2 linked regions of the Astyanax mexicanus genome follow. The main gene of each other region encodes a partner of the protein of the gene in region 2 in a complex. Links are inferred from orthologs where the notes say so. Each region holds a gene or a part of one and is shown on either strand. Other genes may lie near its edges.

Evidence for each region. The genes of interacting proteins can lie anywhere in the genome.
Region 1: the proteins of bckdha (region 2) and bckdhb are in contact, whole or in part, in a crystal structure (PDB 1V16), measured with the Homo sapiens proteins. The link is inferred for Astyanax mexicanus from reciprocal best matches to the Homo sapiens genes BCKDHA and BCKDHB. Residues at the interface, in NP_000700.1 of Homo sapiens: Phe155, Leu185, Gly186, Lys187, Arg189, Gln190, Gly196, Cys197, Lys198, Phe202, Val203, Thr204, Ser206, Pro208, Thr211, Pro214, Gln215, Val217, Gly218, Ala219, Tyr221, Ala222, Arg225, Gly244, Asp245, Ala248, Asn251, Phe252, Thr255, Leu256; in NP_000047.1 of Homo sapiens: Pro89, Thr90, Val92, Asp117, Arg118, Phe120, Asn121, Thr122, Pro123, Cys125, Gln127, Gly128, Ile129, Gly131, Phe132, Ile134, Gly135, Ile136, Val138, Thr139, Asp158, Gln159, Asn162, Glu163, Ala165, Tyr167, Arg168, Tyr169, Arg170, Ser171.

What each region holds. Positions count from the first base shown.
Region 1 is NC_064413.1:27,230,306-27,237,163, reverse strand, and holds the start of bckdhb (2-oxoisovalerate dehydrogenase subunit beta, mitochondrial), read left to right. Parts: upstream 1-3,839; 5' UTR 3,840-3,863; coding exon 3,864-4,041; intron 4,042-6,737; coding exon 6,738-6,815; intron 6,816-6,858. Other genes in the region: dual specificity protein kinase Ttk, read left to right, coding at 558-734, 845-941, 1,327-1,409, 1,582-1,665. UniProt on the Homo sapiens protein: Together with BCKDHA forms the heterotetrameric E1 subunit of the mitochondrial branched-chain alpha-ketoacid dehydrogenase (BCKD) complex.
Region 2 is NC_064416.1:2,328,115-2,335,617, reverse strand, and holds the start of bckdha (2-oxoisovalerate dehydrogenase subunit alpha, mitochondrial), read right to left. Parts: upstream 3,025-7,503; 5' UTR 2,983-3,024; coding exon 2,869-2,982; intron 1-2,868. Other genes in the region: exosc5 (exosome complex component RRP46), read left to right, coding at 4,188-4,287, 5,163-5,276, 5,973-6,094. UniProt on the Homo sapiens protein: Together with BCKDHB forms the heterotetrameric E1 subunit of the mitochondrial branched-chain alpha-ketoacid dehydrogenase (BCKD) complex.

The sequences.
Region 1 (6,858 bases), on a different chromosome or scaffold from region 2:
ATGTTGAACCATGGTACCATATAGTTATGCTTTTAACAGTATGTTAAATAGTTCTTTTTAGAGCTGTACGATATATTTCAGCATCAACATTGCATTGTGTGCACATGTGAATCACATTAAAATGATGTAAAATGACATGTATGGCAAATATAGACAAACCTGTTATATAACATGTTATTCTCACTGTTTTCATTTTTCATGACTTATCTACAAGGGGCAGACTATATATTAATAATTCATTTTACTGTAAGGTTGGATACACCGAGTGCACTTTAAATATCATTGACGTTTGATGTAATCTAATGACTCTTTAATATTGCAGTATGTCACAGAAATGTTTTAAAAAGGAAAAACTGAATGCCTAATTTTATTTTTCTCCTGTAATGTGCAGTCCTTGTTGTTTTATATTTGAAAGTAAATGTATAAACTCATTACATGCATCATAGGAGTACTCATTGGTCTAATAATGAATACTATTTGGACTGATTAAGGAAATCCTGTGTCTTAAAGGTATTATTGTTTTTACTCTCTCTTTCTTAAACTTTTGTGTTCTACAGATCAGCCCAAAGGGTGATGTGTGGTCACTTGGCTGTATCCTGTACTGTATGACCTATGGGAAAACCCCTTTCCAAACTATCACCAACCAGATTACCAAGCTACACGCTATTATTGATCCGTCCCATGAGATTGACTTTCCTGACATCCCAGAGAAGGATCTGCTGGATGTGCTGAAGGTCTCTATTGTCTTCATTTCCATGTGACTAATGTGCAATAATTCTGAAATGATTGCAATAACTTAGTTCATTTAAAAAATCTAATCAAAATATCTCTTTCTTGTACATAGCGCTGTCTGATTCGGAATCCTAAAGAGCGGATCTCGATTGCAGAACTTCTTGACCATCCATACTTATGGCTGCAGCCTCAGAAACCTCCTGAGCCAGGTGACTGCTATATATTTTCAGTCTAGTACTAAACACAAACAGATGAAAGAGAAAGATTGCCAGACATGGATAGAACTAGTCAGAAGTAAACATTATTCCTATGGTATGAGTTTTTTGTAATATCTGGTACGCAGATTAAAGAGGAGAATGCTTAGCACTGATATGTTGCACAACCATGCCCTGCAATCACCTTTAAAAAAACAAAACATGTCCCCAAATACCATGACAGTTTCTTTTAATCAACTAGCAGGTTCTGTGAAAAATGTAAGGGTGCTTTCATGTTTGCTCTGATTAGTTGTATTGTCATCCAGGACAAATAATTGAAAGAATAGTGGTATGCAGTGCTAAATAAATAAATTATTGTATTTTTTCTTATCCCTAACAGAAAGCTGCAACAATGATCTAAAGAGGATTCTAAATGAGTTGGCTGCTTTGCAGTCTCCCAACAGCATTGCAAGAGCTGCAAGTGTGAGTGTTCTTCTGCTGAATGTTGTCTGTAATTATTAGAGATTGTGTAAAAATATTCTCATTTTTTATTACTGTAATTTCTTTGCTTGCTTTTGAAATTCATCAAATGTTTTAATACCATACGCTTGTCACTGATTCGAATCTAACCCTATCTTTCTACCTCACATTACAGAATCTGGCAAAGATGTGTAATAGTGGGAAAAAATTGGACGTTTCCGAGTGCGTCAAGAGTTCCAGTCAGTCCACATGGAAGTGAAGAGTAATAAAGAGCACATGCCAGCCAGTGGCTTAAATATCTTTTGATTTCTTGAGATGAGAAATTTTAGTTTTAATATTGGCCAATTGATGTTTTTTGAATGGAGAAGAATGCTTAGTAGAAACATTTCTGTGCTTTTCTTTGATTAAAAAACTTGTGGTCTGTCAAACTTGTGTTGCTATCTTGTGAGAATTATATCAGGTATAGGCTCCATTAATCATATTTGTACCTGTCACTTTCCCTTCATTTTCTATGTCTTTGTTTATACACTGTGTTCTCACAAATAAACGTACCTATACGCTATATTAAGTCCTTTGGTGCCTGTGAAATACCTTTCCCCAGTAGTTATGTGCTATAGTAGTGAACGTGTGTGAAGCTACACACTTTTTTCTTGCAATTAATGAAGAAAATATTTTTTACTATAAAAAAGACAGTTTGCTTACTCCAGATTTGTAGTTCATGGTTTTCTACACTGGCTACTGTTTTTTTTCCCTTTTCTCCCAACAATAAATGCAATATTTATAGGGATAGGCAGATTGATGCTAAAATGTGGAGACCTCCAGTGAAGTCCAGTAAACTGCATGTCTGAACATCTATTATATCTGAATGTGTTTACTATATCTTTGTTTAAATTGTGAGCAGATGGTAGGGTAAGGTGGGCAGAGGGTGTGTAAGGTGGGTTTGGTTGGAAACATCAAACCAATTTAAATATTAGTCAAAGACCACACAGGTAAACACAATGTTATTTTTAAATGAAGGTGTTAATTATTAAGGGAGGAAAAATCCAAATATTTAAATGTGACAAATATGCAAAAAATCAGGAAGGGGCAAACACTTTTTCACACCACTGTACATAAATATCTATAATAAATTAAACATGCTGATTTTTTTATCCCATAGACAGGCAATACAACTGAAGGGTCCAATTCTCCAACTGTTAAAATATGTAAACATAATGTGTTTACATCTTCACTAGGGACAACACTAGACATGTTTCTATATAATATAAAATCATAGGTCTCAGATTTGATAATTGAAGCTTTTTAATGCCATACAGAAAAACGTTAATGGCTTGTTGTATGGAAAATAATCTTCACATGCTACATTCTTTATGGATGTTTCAGTGTTTCAATGAGTTTTATGATTCTATGCTGAACCTGTGGCTTTATTTAAGAATTCCTTTTTTAGCCAATTGAAAGAGTGTACCTATTCTTTCTTTGTGTTGTTTTAGATAATCCTGAACTCTGGACTGAAAACAATCATTATTGTTTTTAACAAGTGTTATAATTTAAAGGGCCTTCATTTTGAATTAACACACCATAATGTCCTGTTATTAAGTAAGTAACACCTACAAGAAGTCTACTATCAGGGCTAGGTGAAACTGATCTGTGATAACAGGTGGATTCCTTTTAATACCACACCACAGCAGTTGACTTGATATGAAGAATTGAGGGGGGCTTTTATTTTGAAATGTGTTCCTCCACACGCTGTAAATTTTAGTGTATGCGCGATCTGGGAAACAGCGCGGCGGCTAGTTTTAGAAGTAGTAGAACTTGTTTAAAACTAATTTTAAAGAACACTTTAAGAGGCTGGCATGGCCGCAGTCAGAAAAGGGTGAAAGCGTACTAGAACTGCTCTCGAGCATCTGTAATCTCTTATCAATGCTTTCTGTGCAATCTAACCAATCAGTCTGAACCGATCGGAGTTAGGCCCGCCCACTGAGCTTGATGGGTGATGTTGACAGATTTAATTATTTCATACTGCTACGGCGCGCACGGAATAATTAAATGTATTATTTGAGTTAAACAATTAATTTGATAAAAATAACAATAAATTTACGAAAAAATAATTACATTAACTTATTTATGCTTCGTTTTCATATTTAAATAAATATATTAATATTTGAATAAATTAAATCTCATTTTAAATATTCATTTACCGTTTTTATTAATTATTTCTTTATTCATTTATTTATATAATATTGTCACAAATGACCCCCATAATATAAATACATTTAAACTGAATTAATTAGCAGTTCTTTTTTATAAAACATAACAATGAATTATACTCCTACCTTTGTATCAACACGCCGGTTCTCTTTAAGAGCCGCCCCCTGGTTTCAGCCAATCAGAGCGGCGGGCGGCTGCTCCTCCGCTGACGTTTCGAGCGGAGTTCCGGTGTAGTGTGTGTGTGTGTGTATGATGGCGGCAGTGCGGCTTCTCCTCCGGACTGTGAGCTCCGCGTCCTCCTGTGCGCACAGCGGCTCAGGGACAGCGCTGCTCAGACTCTCCCCGACCTGCAGCTCCAGACCCAGAGCGCAGAGGCGGCATGCAGCTCATTTCGCCTTCCACCCAGACCCCGTCCCCACTAAATACGGTAGGACACGGGCCCGGGGTGAACACTGCACTCCCAACACACACACACACTGTTCACCACACACACAGCCTGCTGACTGCTGTCCATACACTACACGACTTCGAAAGACACTAAAAGACTTTTAAAAGACAGAAGTGTGACACCCTCTCACATCTAAAGACAAGTCACAGACTTTTTAGTCACTGACTAAGATTTTAGAAAGACTGGGGATCTTACAGGGTCACTAATTGCAAGACTGCAGCTAGTTTCTTTCTGAGATTATTTTCCATTATGCTTCTGGTGGAGTTTATATACAATACATATTACAAGTTACAAATAATGTATAAATCAGCTTTTGTCCCCATAAACAGTTTATTGTCTGTTTACTGCCACACTGTTAGTTCTTAATATTTTTTAATAGAATACACCTTGTGTACAACTCTGCCTATAAGCTTCATTACCCCCATTTTTTGCTACAACCTTGTATAGCAAAGAATCACAGTTTCACTGCTATATATTTGCCTTTGTTTTAGATTATTAATGCAATAAAGAACATTTATTCTTGCTAAATGTGTATTTATTAAACTTGTTTGTATCTAAACATAACACTGCACAGTAGGACAAACTATTGCAAAATAAAATAACTTAAATATAATTACTTTAAAGTTTTACCTGTGTTTAAAATAGTGTACATATTAAAGTAAGAACCATAAAAGGTAAGATGTGTTCTTTTTTAAATCGTTTGTAAACAGTCACGTAAAATATTCTTGCCTTGCCTCTTCCCGTAGCTCTCCTATTGGCTGTTGACATTGTTCACGTCACTGTTTGCGTGAGCCGAGTCTCAAGATTTACGATAATATGAAACACGGCTGAACGCAGTACACAAAAAAGACTTTCAGTCCTAACCACCTCACACTAAACTGTCGAGATGATGTTACTGCAGCTCCACACTAGCAAGACTATCCTGATTTTATACTGACTCTGGAAATTTATCAGAGTCACATACATACTATCTGTATAACTAAATAACTACAGGTTTCTGTAGTGTATGCTGTGGTTAGCTGAAGGTCACAGCAGGTTTACAGGTTATAACTTCATTGGGTACAGAATGTTTCAGCATGACCTGATCTGTGCACGAGTTTGCTTTGAGTAATAATAAGATAGCTTAATTGTCTTTCAGTCTTTAGTTGTATCCTGCTGAAAAGACAACAACAGCAGCATGTCAGGCTGGTAACAGCCCAGGATTTTTGTCAATTGACATTACACCACTAAATCTTGAGTGTTTCTATTCAAGTATTACATAAAAAAGTTTTCATGTTTGATATCATGATTGTATTTGTAATAAAAATATATATATTTAAGTAAATTTGCTAATGTCAAAATATATTGAATAAAATCATAAAGTGGGCTCTTTCCTGAACTTCATTGTAAAATCAATATTTTCCAGAATACAAATCAAACAGTTCCTGTCCTTTCATTATGTTTGTCTAGTTTTTACATCTATTATCAAACATGCAGAATTGGGGTTGATTCCTGTTACTTATCTGAAATTATTAAGTGGAGTAGAAAGTGAACAGGCAACTTCTCAAAGTGTCCTCTCAGAGATTTAAAAGCTCTCAAATTTCCAGGATGCAATTAAGTTATTTTGCTACAGAAAAATATTTTTGTATTGCTTACACCTGTAAGCAATACAAAACACGGTCCTAGGCAGTAGGCACCTTCATAAAATCCAAGCTGGTTGACAAGCATGGCCAGCCAGACTAAAATCAAATGAAGCATACAACATATTCTTCAAGAGCTAGTTAATCAGTTAGCTTACCAAAAAGTTCTCAAAGAGAATGTCCGGCCATCTGTTTGTGACCTCAAGCTGAAACAAACTTGGGTTATGCAGCAGGACAATGATCCAAAACACACAAGCAAGTCCACCTCTAAATGCCTAAAGAAAAACAAATAGAATGCTTTGGAGTGGCCTACTCAAAGTCCTGACCTAAGACTAGGCTACACCAAAGTCTTAGTCTAGAAGAGTGAAGCTAAAATCCATTCCTCGCTCTGTGAAAGAGTCATTGCAAGTTACTTTAAACGCTTGATTGCAGTTGTTGCTGGTAAGGGTGGCCCAACCAGTTATTAGGTTTAGGGGCAAACATTTTTTCACACAGGGCCATGTAGGTTTGATTTTTTTGTTCTGTAATAATAAAAACCCTTGATTAAAAAAATGCATTTTGTGTTTACTTGTTTTGATTTTGACTAACATTTAATGGGTCAAAATCTTTTTCAGACAACTGTATTGTGTGTGTGTGTGTGTGTGTGTGTGTGTGTGGTAGAAATATTTTCAATAAGTATGTTTTATTTTCTGTTTAGCTTGTGTTAGTTAAGTCCTTTCTTGAGTCTTGAGTCTTCCTTATGTTAAATTGTTATTGGATGTGTTAAGGCGCTGTAAATACTTCGTAGACCAGTGGCTGTAGTGTCTGTAAGATGTGTTACTATTATCCTATGTTTATTCAGTTTTCTATGTTACTTCTTTTGGCATGAGCAGTTCAGTACGCCGCTTTATTCCTCTCAGATTTATTCTTAAATACAGGGTACAGATAATATAAATCAATACAGACTCATATGGCTACTAAATAGGTTCAGTTATTTTGTTATGCTTATTCAGTTTTTTAATACATATTTGTTTTCCATTATGGCTGTAACTTTACCGGTGTGTTTATCTCCTCCAGGCCCCACCGTGAAGATGAACTTGTTCCAGTCTATAACCAGTGCCTTGGATAACACACTTGCAAGTGACCCCACAGCAGGTGAGACTGATGATCTCTTTAGTTGTTGTTGTTTGTTTTTGTT
Region 2 (7,503 bases):
AAATAACTTGCTATCTCAAAATAACGACGTACTTTCTTAAAATAATGAGAAAGTATCTAAAAATAACTCTCAAAATGACGTACTATCTCAAAATAATTACCTACTATCTCAAAATAACGAGACATTATCTCAAAATAACGACTTAATATCCTAAAATAATGACTTACTATATCTCAAAATAATTATTTACTATGCCTTACTTACTATCCCAAAATAATTATTTATTTCAAAATAATGATTTATCTCAAAATAATGACTTACTGTCTCAAAATGACTTACTATATTACTATATACAGGTGCTGGTCAACGAATTAGAATAATTTGAAATAGTGCAATCATGAAATTCTTTGAATGCATTTTTTGTGCAGAAAGCAAATCAGGTGTTCACTGCACCTGTCCTACTCGCTAGACTAATCACAGAACTCGTTACCTGGAAAAAAATTTGCTCAGCTGAGCTTTCCAAAAGGCCCATTTAGGCCATTTAACTGTGACACTGTTGTTTTATTGAATTAGAATAATGGAGAAACCGTTTCATTGAATTAGAATAATTTTTATTATAATTACAATCATCACTTTCTCAGTATTTTGTGGCTGCCCCCTTGGCTTGTATGACTGCCTGAAGTCTCCGCGGCATCGATTTGACCAGCTTGTCGCAAGTTTCCGCACTCACAGCTTCCCAGGCAGTGGCGATGTTCTGCTTCAGTTGGTCCAGCGTAGTAGGCTTTCTGTCGCGAATTTTCCGCTTGACGATGGCCCAAAGGTTTTCAATGACATTGAGGTCAGGCGAGTTGGCCGGCCATGCCAAAACTTCAAGCTGTTTTTTAGTGAACCAATCTTTGGTCGACTTTGCCGCATGAGCCGGTGCAAGATCCTGTTGAAATATGAAGTCTTCTTCGCCGAACTGTTCCTCAACAGTCGGAATCAGGAACGTTTCCAGAACATCTTGATATACGGCAGCATTGACAGTCTTCTTGAGGAAGCAGAGTTTCCCTACACCTCGAGCGGACATGCATCCCCAGACCATAACGCTCTGGGGAAACTTGACGGATCTTTTCACGCACTCGTGGTTGTAGGTTTTGCCACCACGACGCCAGACACGAGGACCTTGGTCACCGAAGGAGATGCAGAAGCGTGATTCGTCACTGAAGACCACTTTCTGCCAGTCTTCAGCAGTCCACTCGCCGTGTTCTTTGGCCCACTTCAGCTGTTTCTCCATTTGTTTCTTGTTCAGCATCGGTTTTACTGCTGGAACGCGAGATTTGAAGCCGAGTTCGCGCAGACGACGGTAAGTGGTTGATCTGGAGACGTCAGCGCCGGTCTGCTTGTTCCACAAGTCGGTGAGCTCGGAAGTGGACTTGAACCGGTTGCTGACTGCGATCTTTCTCAGCTGCTTGTTGTCGAGAGCAGAAGTTTTTCGGACGCCGGAACAGTTGGTGCGCTTGCTGCAGTTTTTCTTGAGAGCTTTGCAGACGGAAGACTGGCTGATGCCGAGCTGCTCAGCAATTTTAGTTTGGGTCAAGCCTTGTTGGCGAAGGGCTTGAATTTGAGCCACTATTCCGGTTGAGAGGTCGCGCTGCTTACCCATGATTGATTTTACAACTTAGAAATTCTACTCAACCCTGACTTTATACTGCACAGTGAACACTCTTCACAGAAAACAAAAATTCGAGCATTTATTCTAATTCAATGAAACGGTTTCTCCATTATTCTAATTCAATAAAACAACAGTGTCACAGTTAAATGGCCTAAATGGGCCTTTTGGAAAGCTCAGCTGAGCAATTTTTTTTCCAGGTAACGAGTTCTGTGATTAGTCTAACGAGTAGGACAGGTGCGGTGAACACCTGATTTGCTTTCTGCACAAAAAATGCATTCAAAGAATTTCATGATTGCACTATTTCAAATTATTCTAATTCGTTGACCAGCACCTGTATACCATATATATATAGTATACCAAAAAATACTTACTCTCAAAATAATAACTAACAATTTAAAAATAATAATATAGAAGTTAGACAGAAAAAAAAATCAAATAATATATATATATATATATATATATATATATATGTATATATATATACATATATATATATATATATATATATATATATACATATATATATATATATATATATATATATATGTATATATATATATACATATATATATACATATATATCCCGCCTTGAAGCGTGTTATATTCCACACCCCCGGAGCGGACCAATCAGAGCGAAGGAAACGGCGCAGCGCCGTGAAGGTTATGCGCATGCGCGGTGGCTAGGTTCTCGCAGCCAAAACAAATAGACCGGTTTCAGTAAAAAAATATATAATATAATATAATAACTTCATATTAACCTCAAAATCAGCAGCATAAACCAGTTATTAATAACTAAACTTATTAACAACAGCTGAATATGCGGTTTATTAACGCTTCACACAACCATACACACTATTAAATATATAAGTTACATTAAAACATATATATTAAATATTAAAATAAAGTTATATAGAACCACAGCGTTACAGAGTCTGTGGACAGCTGTATTTATCTATCTATACTGTAGCTTATATGCTTGTATTATATGTGTGTTTTAAACAATATAAGCCAGTGTTGTTTTTTTAGTCCAGGTGAGCAGCTGGTTTACCTGTATCAGATTCACCTGTATAATAATATTGCATCTGATAATAACCCCTCACGTGCTGCTATATATCTTTATTACAGTATAAAGCTCTAGCTGAGGGTTATATATTAAATATATATCTGCAGGTGGGCATTACATGCTACTGTTTAAGCTGCAGCTCAGATCAGACCCACAGGAACACCTGTACAGGTGAGCAGCGCGCGCTGTGCGGGTGAGCAGGTGAGGTTACCTGGGTGCGGAAGGCTCTCCGCTGCAGGGCTCTGACCGAGTTTAATGCTGAATTTTGGCGAAACGCGTGAAAACCGAGTCCGACCCATTTCTGCAGCCTCCGCACCGCCGCCATGTTTCAGCCTTACTGTCCTCCCGCACCGCGCTCACAGCGCCTCCTGCTGCAGCGGCGGAGACACCGCACTGTATATACACTATGAATATAACTGAGAAATTACTGATTATATATACACACAATTACAAAATCAGCATTTTAATACAACTAATATTTCACTTTCAATATTTCTTCACATCTCTTATAAATTCATTAATTCCCTAAGAAATAACACACTTAAAAAACAACAAAAAAGAATATATATATAGTAAATTATGTAGCTAAATTAAAAAAAGATAAAATTGCTAATTAATAATTAAAATGAGAAAACAATATTGTTTATGATAATAATGTAACTAATGTTTCATTTATTAATAATAATAATAATAATAATAATAATAATAATAATAATAATCATCATCATCATAATCATAATAATAATCATAATCATAATCATAATAATTGTTATTATTATTATTGTTATTATTATTATTATTAATTATTATAATTAAAAAACAACAACAAAATGCAAGAAAAATGTGTAATAGCGGAAGCATGTAAAAAGTTATATGTGACGGTGTATAAATAACTAAACAGTTTCTATTAAAACTTTTATTATTAAACTATTATTATTATTATTATTATTATTATTATTATTTATTTATTTATAATAAAGGTTAAAGCTGCAAATAAAAAAATGACATCAGCATATAATAAAATAAATTAGGAAACATGGGAAAACCAAATACAAGAAAAATGTATAACAGAGGAAGCATGTACATAAGATTGTAAAAAAAACGGTGTCCTTTAATTAAATTAAGAATTATTTTAAATTACTTTATTAATAAAATATAAATAGCATGGTTAAATAATGAATAAATGACCGCCTTCTGTTTTATTTAACTTACATTTATATATTTGTTCCTTGGAAAAATACTATATTAGAGTATTATAGTATTTTTAAGAAAATAATTCAATTACAAAACACTATTGCAAATCAAATCAATCCTCTTTCTTATTTAAACGAAAATTCGTTGTAAATAAAATGCCTAATAAAATACAGAATATTTTAGCTTAACTAGTGTAAACTGATTTACTGTTTTTACCGGTAGATTAAGGACTTTTATCTTATTAAAGCGTCATCAGAGTGCGCGGTAAACAGTGACGCTGTGAGCGGGCGACGGGCCGGCGTGCTGCAGTATCGCGGGGTGCAGGGTTCGGCAGTGATGGATCAGATAGAGACGGGTTCGGGTTCGGTTCTGAGGGAATACGGGAGCGAACAGAACCTGCTGTCCAAACCGGACGGATCAGCGACCTTCCTACAGGGTATTTATCTATATACTGTCTCTGTTCTATTGGGTTCTATGGGGTTCTAAATGGGTTCCTCTGGGTTGTGCACTTGTTTACAAGACTCTATATTGACTATATAGGGCTCCACAGAACTCTACCCTGTTCTGTAGGTATCTACAGAGTTTCTATATGGCTATATAGGGTTATATAGTGCTCCAAAGGACTCTAGTGTTCTATAGGCCTGCACATGACTCTACAGTGTTCTGCACGATTTCTATAGGGCACTGCCGAGCTCTACGAGTTCTATAGGGTCCACATGACAATATATCAATTAGTCATTTAGGCAATCAACCGTTATTTTCACTCAGAAGTACATTAAGGGCAACCCTCATTTTCAATGTAGCATTCACAAATACAGGGATTAACATGATGATAAATTAAATAATAACTACATTTAATAATCTTAAAATAACAGTTAATAAAAGAGAGGGTTTCTGTAGGGCACTACAGAGCTCTATAGGGTTTCTATAGGCCTCCACAGGACTCTACAGTGTTTTGAACGTCTCTACAGAACTTGGGTCTATATGGCACTGCAGAGTTCTATATTGGTTAAATACGGCTCTACAAAGCTCTATATGGTTTTTATAGACAACCACAGAGCTCTACAGGGGTTCCATATGAATCTACAGGGTTTCTATAGGGCACTACAAAGCTCTATTTGGTTTCTATAGGGCACTACAGAACTCTACAGGGCATCCATAGGGATTTAGAAGGTTTCTATTGGACATTACAGAACTCTATAAGGGGCTCTACTCTGCAGGTTTCTGGAGGATTTTTCTGGGTTCTGTATTGATCTTGTGTTTGTGTGTGTGTGTGTGTGTGTGTTTCTGTAATGGTATATGTGTTTACAGGGGACACCAGTGTGTTGGCAGGAGTTTATGGACCTGCTGAAGTGAAAGTGAATAAGGAGATCTATGACAGAGCGACTCTGGAGGTGGTTGTCCAGCCTAAAGTGGGCATGTCAAGTAAGTAGCTCTGTGTTCAGAGATACTAAATAAAAAAATAATTTATTAATTAATAATACACTATATTGCCAAAATGCACAACATAATTGTACTCACAACTAGTTATTTATTTGATGTAAAATGGACCTTCTAAAATGTTCTGTGCATTATATAATATTTAGTCAATGCGCAGAGCCGTCATCATTAAGCATTAAAAAATGGAATAGTTATAATATAATATATAATATAATAAACTTTGCTTGTATATCATCAAAAAAAAACGCAGCTCAAAATGCTTCAATAAAATTAAGTAAAACAGAAAACTGTAAAACGTAAAAAATTTAATAAACAGTTTTTGTCATTTTAGTTCACATTAATATATTGTGCACACTCCTGTTTTGGAATTTTATTGTATAACTAAGTGCAAAACATACCTGATGTCTGAAAAACTGAGCACAATAATGCAGCATGAGTCTACTAGTAGGTTAAAGTAATATTTATTGTTAGAGCCCTATTTAATTAATGTAATTCTCATTACAATACAGTGAACATATTAATTTATTTATAACACTAATCATGCTTTAATATTCCTCTAGATTAAAAGCCTGTTGTTGGTTGCGTTACCCCCTCTCACCACAGGGTGGTAGTCATGTAATAGTGAAAATCTGTGCGTGTGATGAACGTTCACTAATCCGGTTCTGTAACCCGGTTCTGTAGGTGTGCGGGAGCGTGCGAGGGAGCAGTGTGTGAGGGAAACGTGTGAGGCTGTCCTGCTGTCCACTCTTCATCCTCGGTCCTCCCTCGCACTCATCCTCCAGGTGGTGCACGACGACGGCTCTGTATCCTTTATAAATCCACACCTGTTTATAACTAGTAACGAGTCTTTCTCATCTCTGGAGGAATTTAGTTCCACTCTTCTTTACAGAATTACAGTTTTAATTCAGACACATTGGAGGATTTTCCAGCATAAACGTCTAAAACTGTTTAAGATCATCCACAGCATCTCAATCAGACTTTAACTAGACCCTCCTAAACCTTCATTTAGTTTTTATTTATTTTTAATCCATTCAGAGGTGAACTTTTTGTTTGTGTGCTTTGGGTCATTGTCCTGCTGCAGAACCCAAGTACTCCTGAGCTTGAGGTCAGTAAGGAACAGATGGACGGATTCTGATTCTCCTTCAGGATTTTCTGGTAAAAACAGCAGAACTCCTGCTTCCATCTATTACAGCAAGTTAAAGTCCGGCAGCTCCAGACCATCATAACGCACACACTACCACCACCATGTTTTACATTTTACGTTCAGTGAGAGCAATGTTCTTTTATTGCTGAAATTATGTGTTTATTATAGTTTTATGCCAGATGTAACGGGACACACACCTTCCAAAAAGTTCCACTTTTGTCTCTTCAGTCAAAATATAATATTTACCCATAATTTTAAAAAGGAAAAAACAATTTTTCCTAAAGAGCATCATGATGTTAATTGATAAATGTTGTTCTGGGTTCTTTTGGGATCTCATGGATGAGTTGTTCATGCCCTTTTGGAGTAATTTTGTTCGGTCGGCCGGTCACTCCTGGGAAGGTTCACCAGTTTTCCATGTTTTTTCTAGGGGTGTGACGAGATCTCGTCAAGCTTAAACCTGTCTCGCAGGGGGAAAAAAACAGTAGTTTAAAAGCTCCGCGGTACAGTTAAAAAGCTCAGTTAAAAAGCTCAGCTCAGTTTAAAAAAGCTCCGCGGTACAGTTAAAAAGCTCCGCAGTACAGTTAAAAAGCTCAGTTAAAAAGCTCAGCTCAGTTTAAAAAAGCTCCGCGGTACAGTTAAAAAGCTCCGCAGTACAGTTAAAAAGCTCCGCGGTACAGTTTAAAAAGCTCAGTGGTACAGTTTAAAAAGCTCAGTGGTACAGTTTAAAAGCTCCGCGGTACAGGTAAAAAGCTCCGCGGTACAGGTAAAAAGCTCCGCGGTACAGGTAAAAAGCTCCGCGGTACAGGTAAAAAGCTCCGCGGTACAGTTTAAAAGCTCCGCGGTACAGTTTAAAAGCTCCGCGGTACAGTTTAAAAGCTCCGCGGTACAGTTTAAAAGCTCCGCAGTACAGTTAAAAAGCTCCGCGGTACAGGTAAAAAGCTCCGCGGTACAGGTAAAAAGCTCCGCGGTACAGTTTAAAAGCTCCGTGGTACAGTTTAAAAAGCTCCGCGGTACAGTTTAAAAAGCTCCGCGGTACAGTTTAAAAAGCTCCGCGGTACAGTTTAAAAG